2 linked regions of the Ovis aries genome follow. The protein of the gene in region 1 binds, or shares a complex with, the protein of each later gene. Links are inferred from orthologs where the notes say so. Each region holds a gene or a part of one and is shown in the gene's direction. Other genes may lie near its edges.

What was found.
Region 2: TERT (region 1) and GAR1 share a complex: the UniProt entries of both Homo sapiens proteins name them as parts of the telomerase holoenzyme complex. The link is inferred for Ovis aries from reciprocal best matches to the Homo sapiens genes TERT and GAR1.

Annotation. Positions count from the first base shown.
Region 1 is NC_056069.1:71,203,961-71,207,769, forward strand, and holds part of TERT (telomerase reverse transcriptase), read left to right. Parts: intron 1-717; coding exon 718-844; intron 845-1,353; exon of another isoform or gene 1,354-1,394; coding exon 1,395-1,456; exon of another isoform or gene 1,457-1,942; coding exon 1,943-2,067; intron 2,068-2,536; exon of another isoform or gene 2,537-2,751; coding exon 2,752-2,889; exon of another isoform or gene 2,890-3,267; coding exon 3,268-3,371; 3' UTR 3,372-3,809. UniProt on the Homo sapiens protein: Telomerase is a ribonucleoprotein enzyme essential for the replication of chromosome termini in most eukaryotes. Active in progenitor and cancer cells. Inactive, or very low activity, in normal somatic cells.
Region 2 is NC_056059.1:15,946,399-15,950,081, reverse strand, and holds part of GAR1 (H/ACA ribonucleoprotein complex subunit 1), read left to right. Parts: intron 1-907; coding exon 908-1,062; intron 1,063-1,524; coding exon 1,525-1,584; intron 1,585-1,829; coding exon 1,830-1,968; intron 1,969-3,683. UniProt on the Homo sapiens protein: Required for ribosome biogenesis and telomere maintenance. Part of the H/ACA small nucleolar ribonucleoprotein (H/ACA snoRNP) complex, which catalyzes pseudouridylation of rRNA.

The DNA of each region.
Region 1 (3,809 bases):
TCTTCCTGGGCCCCGTCCCCATGGGTTAGGGCCCGTGTTCAGCGTCTCTTCCTGGACCTCCGTCCCCGTGGGTTAGGGCCCGTGTGCTCAGCGTCTCTGCGTCTCTTCCTGGGCCCCGTCCCTGTGGGTTAGGGCCCCCCTTATGCGCTCGTTTGACCTTAGTCATCTTCTCAAAGGCCTTGTCCCCGAACGGCCGCGGGGGCGGGCTCACCCTGTGAATTTGGGGATGCAGTTGAGCCCCTGGCGGCCCTCTGCCCCCGCCTCACCCTGGGATGGTGCAGCGAGCCCCAGGCTTTGCACAGACGTGGAGGGCTGAGGAGCAGTGTGGCTGCAAGCGTGTCCTCTGCTCTGTGAGGAGCGAGCCGTCTCGGGGCGCTGCTGGATGGGGCTACCCTGTCCTGCGCTGCTAGCCCAGTCCTGCTGGGGGGCTGGGGGCTGCCCCCAGGCGCTCCCTGGGAAGACGCGGGGCGGACGCTTGCCGTCCGTGGTTCCGTGTGTCCACCTGCTGCTCCCGACACTCCCTGCGTGTCCACGCACCGACTGCGCCGGCGAGTCATGACCCGCCCACTGTCCTGTCTGGGTGCCCGTGAAGCTGTGACTGTGTGGGGGACAGGTAGCCTTCCTGGCCGATCAGTGTAGCCGAGGGGCGGGACATCTAGGTGTGGGTCAGTGCTGGGTGGACACACTTGCTTCCCTGGACCCCACCCTGTCTCACAGTTACGCCCGGACGTCCATCAGAGCGAGTCTCACCTTCACCCAGGGCTTCAAGCCCGGGAGGAACATGCGTCGCAAGCTGTTGGCGGTCCTGCAGCTCAAGTGCCACGGGCTCTTCCTGGACCTGCAGGTTGGGGGGCAGGGCCGCGGGGCGTGGGGGCAGCTGGCCCCCCATGTGTTGTATTTCCTGGGGGAGTGGGTGGGCAGGTGCACACTTGTGTGTGGAAGGACGTTGGTCATCACACACGTGTACGTGTGACTGAGCGTGTGGGTGCGCATGTGTGCCTGTGTGTGAAAGGACGTTGGTCATCACACACGTGTATGCGTGACCGAGCGTGTGGGTGTGGATGCTTGTGCAGCTGTGTGCATGCCTGTGCCCACAGCGCTCACCCCACCGTCCTCGCCTTGTCCCTGCTCGTCCCCTTGGGCCGGGCCTTTGTGGCCCTTGCTTGTCCCCCTGGGGCCTGAACCGTCGTCCTGCCAGGCTCCCGCCCTCTCCCTTCCCGCGGGCCTGGCCGCCTCTGAGGGCCCCTGGGGACCTGGTGGGTTTCCCCAGAGAGGCCACTGGGTTCTTCCCGGGGCGACCCTTTTTCCTGCTCCGCTTGATGGGGCCATAAAGCAAACTCAGGAACGCAAAGCGAGAGGTGCCGCCAGCGTTTTCTTCTCTTTTCTTTCTGAAGGTGAACAGTCTCCAGACGGTTTTCACAAACGTGTACAAGATATTCCTGCTGCAGGCCTACAGGTGCGTCTGGTGGAGGATGGGGCCTCAGCCGCAGTGCTGCGCTCGCCCGGGACCTGGGGGACACGCTGCTCCCCAGTGCGATGAGGCAGCCCCTGAGTCCTTGGTGTCCTTGTCCACCCTGGGAATGCTGCTCTGTCCCCAGGGAGTACTCAGGGGTCTCGTCAACAGGGGGAGGGCTGCAGGGCGGGGCAGGGCAGGGCAGGGAGCAGAGATCAGTGTCTGCGGTGGCCCCCAGCCCTCAGGTGCCCCCAGGAGGGGCAGCGGGAAGCCGCACCAATTGGCACAGACTAGCTTCCGGAACATTCCCCGCCCTGGGGCCATGCCACCCGCCAGGTGCTGAGCTGGGGCGCAGGCAGCTGACTGTGGAGTCCGGGGCTCATCCACCCCTAACCGGGACCCCGAGCCAGGCTCGGCCTGCATGGTCTCCGTGGAGCCCCTCTTGGGCAGCGTGGGGGGGGCGTGTCCTGACGGGGCCGCCGCCCCCAGGTTCCACGCCTGCGTGCTGCAGCTGCCCTTCAGCCAGCCGGTCGGGAGCAGCCCCGCGTTCTTTCTCCAGGTCATCATGGACACGGCGTCCCGAGGCTACACCCTCCTGAAAGCCAGAAACGCAGGTGCTTGGGCGCCCGGGGCTGAGGGCTTGCGGGGGCGGGGACTTGAGCTGCAAGTCACCTACACCCGCCGGCAGGAGATGGGGCAGGAGACGGGGCCAGGGCGCCTCTACCTTGCTGGCGGCTCAGGCCCTCCATTGGCCTGTCGTCCGCTGCCAGCCTGGAGTGACCAGGCACCTAGGCACCAGCTGGGGATCCTCCCCTGCGTGCCCCGCCTGCTCACGGGCAGCCCTCCTGTCTCGGTGCCCTGGGCATTGGGTCAGCCAGGCCAGCGGGCAGCAGGAGGCCCTGGGCCGCCCTTGCCCACACTGGGGAGGAGCCTGCTGAGGGACCCCCGTGTGCTTTGGGGTCACCAGCCCTCAGCTCGGCCTTCCTGGGGCATCCCCGTGCCCGCCCCCACGGCCTCGGCCAGGGCCCTGAGGACCCGTCCGAGGTCCCGGCTGTGCGGCCTGTGAGGCTTGTGCAGACTTACCGTCACTGTCCTTGTTCGTGGAGGTTTCTTGGAGAAGTTGAAGGAAACATCTGTTGTCAGAATTCCCTGGGCTCCTATCGGGGTTGCGCCTGGGGCGAAAGCGCTGGTTTTCCGCCCCCAACATTGTCCCACAAGCGCACTGAGGGCTCTCCGCCTGGAGGCCCCGGTCTCCCTAGCGCGGCGTCGGGCAGGGCCTCAGTCATGCGTGTCCCCAGGGGCGTCGCTGGGGGCCAGGGGCGCCTCCGGCCTGTTCCCGTCTGAAGCGGCACACTGGCTGTGTCTCCACGCCTTCCTGCACAAGCTGGCTCGCCACCGCGCCACCTACAGCCGCCTGCTGGGGGCTCTCCGGACAGGTGGGTGTGGGCGGACACAAGGCGGCCCCTTCGGGCAGGTGGGTGGGCCCAGGAGTTTCCACGAGCCGGGGTCACAGCCCCGCCCCGCCCAGGGCACACCCAGCCGGGTCACGCCGCCTCTCACGGCCCTTCTCGGGGCCTCCTCCCCGCGGCGTCTGCCCACCAGCCCCCTACCTGTGTCCCCTCGGGCGCTGCCCAGCTGCCCCCGTGGCTCCGGGCGTGATGGGTTGTCTCCCCTTGCTGAGGCTCCCACCCCCCAGCTCGCCGGCACACAGCCGGCCCAGCGTGGGTGCCCGCGTGGCCTCAGTGGTGTGCCTGGTAAGCAGCGGTCTCTGGCGCCCCCCGAAAGGGGCTCTGAGTGCATCCCCCTCTCCACAGCCCAAGCTCGGCTGCACCGGCAGCTCCCAGGGCCCACACGTGCCGCCCTGGAGGCGGCGGCCAACCCCGCTGTGACCGCAGACTTCAAGACCATCTTGGACTGACCGTCAGCCCTGCCCACAGCCAGGGGTGGGCTCTGGAGCCCATGGGAGGCGCCTGCTCCATGGCGAAGCCGGGGCCCCCCCGAGAGCCCTGGGGAGGGGGCCCCGCTGCCCTGTGCCCCTCCAGAGACCATGCATCTCCAGTAGCTGACCGCCAGGCCCGGCAAGACGTGCGGGAGAGCCTGGCAGGGTGGTTGGGTATCGGAATAGGGAGTTGGGGGGGGGTTGTCACCCCTCTCCCCTGCACTGGAGTGAGGACACGTCTGTCCAGCGGCTCGGGGGGTCTCGGGGGCTGAGTGGGCCCTGCCCGCTGCTGACAGTGCGCCTGCGCCCCGCCCGGCCCTTGGTCCATGCCTTTCCCCCCACCCGCTGAGCTCGAAGTCCAGCCTGCTGGGCCTTCCCCGCAGTCAGCTGCTGGGGGCCCCACCCTCACCCCTGGCC
Region 2 (3,683 bases), on another chromosome or scaffold:
AAAGATATAGGGTGGAAGTTTTAGAAAGTGAGACAGAAATTTGACAGTAGAAGCCTGCATTAAAGAAGAGACAGGATAAATAGAGTCTAATATATGAAGAGAAAGTTGGATCGGTATGCAAAATGGTGTAGAGGTCAGTGGCTAGAATCAAAGGTCCTGTCCCGTAACAGTCCATGCATGACACATTGAGAGCATTGGGAAAGTGAAGAAAAAAGGAAGGGTTAGATGGGAGAGAAATCTCAGTGGAAACAAACTTAGAACTTGACTAATACTAGAAATAAAAGATTCTTGATTTTGAACTTGGGTGATGGGAATTGAGAGTTGGTTTTATAGGAATATGGTGAGTATTTTAGTTTGGGGTGGATAGAAGTTAGATATAAAGGTAGTTATATGAAATTCCAGACTTTCTTGGTAAGGATCGAAGAGTCAGTGAAAAGGTAGTAGTGGGAAATTTTAAAAGGGGAAGGGGGGGGAAAAGGCAGGAGAACAACAGACTGTCTTAGAGTTATGGATGGGGAGAAGGAAGAAGAGACAATAGAATGAAGCATAGCATTTAATCAAATAATAATAGTAACTATAACAAAATAACTTACAGGTTGAGTGGTCTCAATATGCCAGGCACTTTCTAAGCACTTGACACTTATTGTTGTGCTTAATCCTCACAGTACTAGGTGTTAGCCAAGGGTTTTGTTGTTAGCCCTACATTAAAGATGAAGGCACTGAAGAATAGAAAAGGTGAGACCCTTACTCCAGGTCACATAGCTAGTATTTTGTGGAGTTGGTACTAAGCCAGGAAGGCTTTTTTGCTGGTGAAATCCCAGGCAGCCAAGAGGAAAGCTTCTAGAAGAGGTTGGTCAATATCATTTGAAACTGTTTTATATTTTAACAATTTTATGTCCTATTTTAGTATTAGGAGAGTTCCTGCACCCTTGTGAAGATGACATAGTGTGTAAATGTACCACAGATGAAAATAAAGTACCTTATTTCAATGCTCCAGTTTATTTAGAAAACAAAGAACAAATTGGAAAAGTGGACGAAATATTTGGACAGCTTAGAGATTTTGTATCCTTTTTAATTGGAAGATGTAGCAATCCTGTTGAAAGGTCATGATTTGTGTTTTTCTGGAGATAAGTATTGATTAAACTGAACTTGGTGCTTCACTGAAGTGGATGCAGTATTGCTAAGATTGGACCATAAAGGAGAATCAAGACAGGGGAATATATTTCCACATAAATTGAAAAGATAGGCCTCTTTAAGTGTGCCTTCCTTTTTTTAAGCTTTTAGAAATGATTGTCATTTGGATCAGTGCCATTTGAGTTACTTTGTTTTTGATATGATGATGCTACTGCAATAGTATGGTGGACCTGGAAGTTTTAAAACAAAAACTTCACTTCTGTTTGGAAACTCATTTCTTACTTTTCGTGAATATTTCTGTATATTCTAACCTTGTTATTTTAAAAATGACATGTGAATTCAGAAGATTATCTTTCATTATAATTGTTTATTCCTTAATAAAATTAATAGTATTTTTCAGTTAAATTATCAGAGAACATGAAAGCATCTTCCTTTAAAAAACTACAGAAGGTGAGTCAAGCTAACACCTAGATCCTTGGTTTTATAAATGAATGACCTACCTTAGGACAGTTTTACTTAAAAGCACTGGAAACTTCCTCAGTGTATCACTAGTGAAGTTAGAGGGTTGGGATTTGACCCAGGCAGTTTTGAGTCTAGTGTGTCGGTTCTTAATTATTATATTGTATACCGGTTCTTAATTATTATATTGTATATCCCCCAGCTCATCACACTAATTGTTTCTATTTTACTTCCAGTTTTATATAGACCCATATAAGCTGCTGCCGTTGCAGAGGTTTCTACCTCGACCTCCTGGTGAAAAGGGACCTCCGAGAGGCGGTGGCAGGGGAGGTCAAGGAGGAGGAAGAGGCAGAGGTGGCAGAGGTGGCAGAGGTGGTAAGTTCCCCATGGAGGAAAACTTCTAATGAGATTTCAAAGTCACAGCCTATTTAAAGAGTACAATTTAATTTTTCATATAAGTCAACCTCTCTTATGGTTATTTCTTTTAGTTAGGCTCTTTCAAATTTTGGCAGATTACCATAGTAATAATGCTTAGTTTCTATAACGTATAGGATTATCTTAATTGAATTTTAATTTTTTAATTAGTATTTAGCAAAACTTTATGAAGGTGGGTGATATCTTTATTTTTATGAATGAGGAAATGGAAGCTTAGAAATGTTAATTTGTCCTAATCAAACAATTGGCAGCTCAGAAATAAAACCAGTGTCTTCTGATGTCATGTCAAAGACTATTATTACCAATAAATTCATTGCTTTGGTTTCAGTATGTTGATATTATGTATTTCCCCACAGCTTTGGTACATTTATTGTGTAGGCAGCTAGGTGATAAGTAAAGCTGGGGATGAGCTGGAATGCAGCATCTGGGAATGATGTGTTAGGTGGGTGACAGGATGATGGACAGAGCCAAAGTGGTAAGGAAGAGGAGCTGCCAAGTGGGTTACTGTATCAGAAAAGAGAATTTCGTTTTCACTTTTGCCTCTCAATTTAATGAACGTTTCACCCTGTAAATGTGCCTTTTTGGGATCCAGATAACTTGGAGATAATCTCTTAAGAGATATGTATATATTTATTTCTTTGGAAGTATCCCTTTGAGAATTTGAATGGAGATCCCCTCATTCCCATTCTATATTCAGTCTTATATAAAATAGTTTAAAAAATTCACAACTCTATTTTCTTAAAGTCTTAATCTTTATATTGTATTTTAGACGTATGTGTTTGTTTCTTTATAATTTCTCTTTTTATGTTTCATCATTCTTTTACAAAACTGTCCCCCAAAATAAGTAAAAGTAGGGACTGCAGTAGGAAGCCAAATGTATTGGATAATAGAAGAAAATAATTTAAAATTTTAAAATTTCAAAGCTTGTCAGCATATGAACATCAGTGTGTCTGTTTCCAGCTCAGTTAACCTTAAATGTTGTATCCATGGTACTTCCCAGGTGGCGCTAGTGGTAAAGAATCTACCTGCCAATATAGGAGACATAAGGGACATGGGTTCGATCCCTGGGTTGGGAAGATTCCTTGGAGGAGGGCATGCCAACCCATTCCAGTATTCTTGCCTGGAGAATCCGATAGACGGGGGCCTGGTGGGCTACAGTCTATTGGGTCACGGAGTCGGACACGACTGAAGCAACTTAGCAGGCATGGTAGTACTCCCAGAACCAAACCACCCATGTCTGCTACTTTTTGTTCTTAGAATTAAGAAGCCTTAGTGCAGTTTAAAAAGTGTATCCCATAAGCAAAAGTTGAGGTACAAATACATTTAACAATAGGGCTAAATTGAACTTTAAAGTAACAAACTTTTCTAACGTATTAAAACAAAACTTGTTTAAAAAGTTGTAAACTAGGATTTTTTCTTTCCACTGGATTGAGAAACTACTACTATTTCTCCATTTTTATCTTTAAAAAAATTCTGCAAGATAAAATATGTGAATATATGTTAGCTTGGTCCAGAAATAATTGTAATTTTGCGTTGTTGAATTTTGCCCTTTGATATTAGAATACATTCTTAAATAAATATGATTATATTATACCTCATTTTAATGCACATTTCTTGCTTTATATTTTTTGCTAATGACATTAACAGTAAAAATA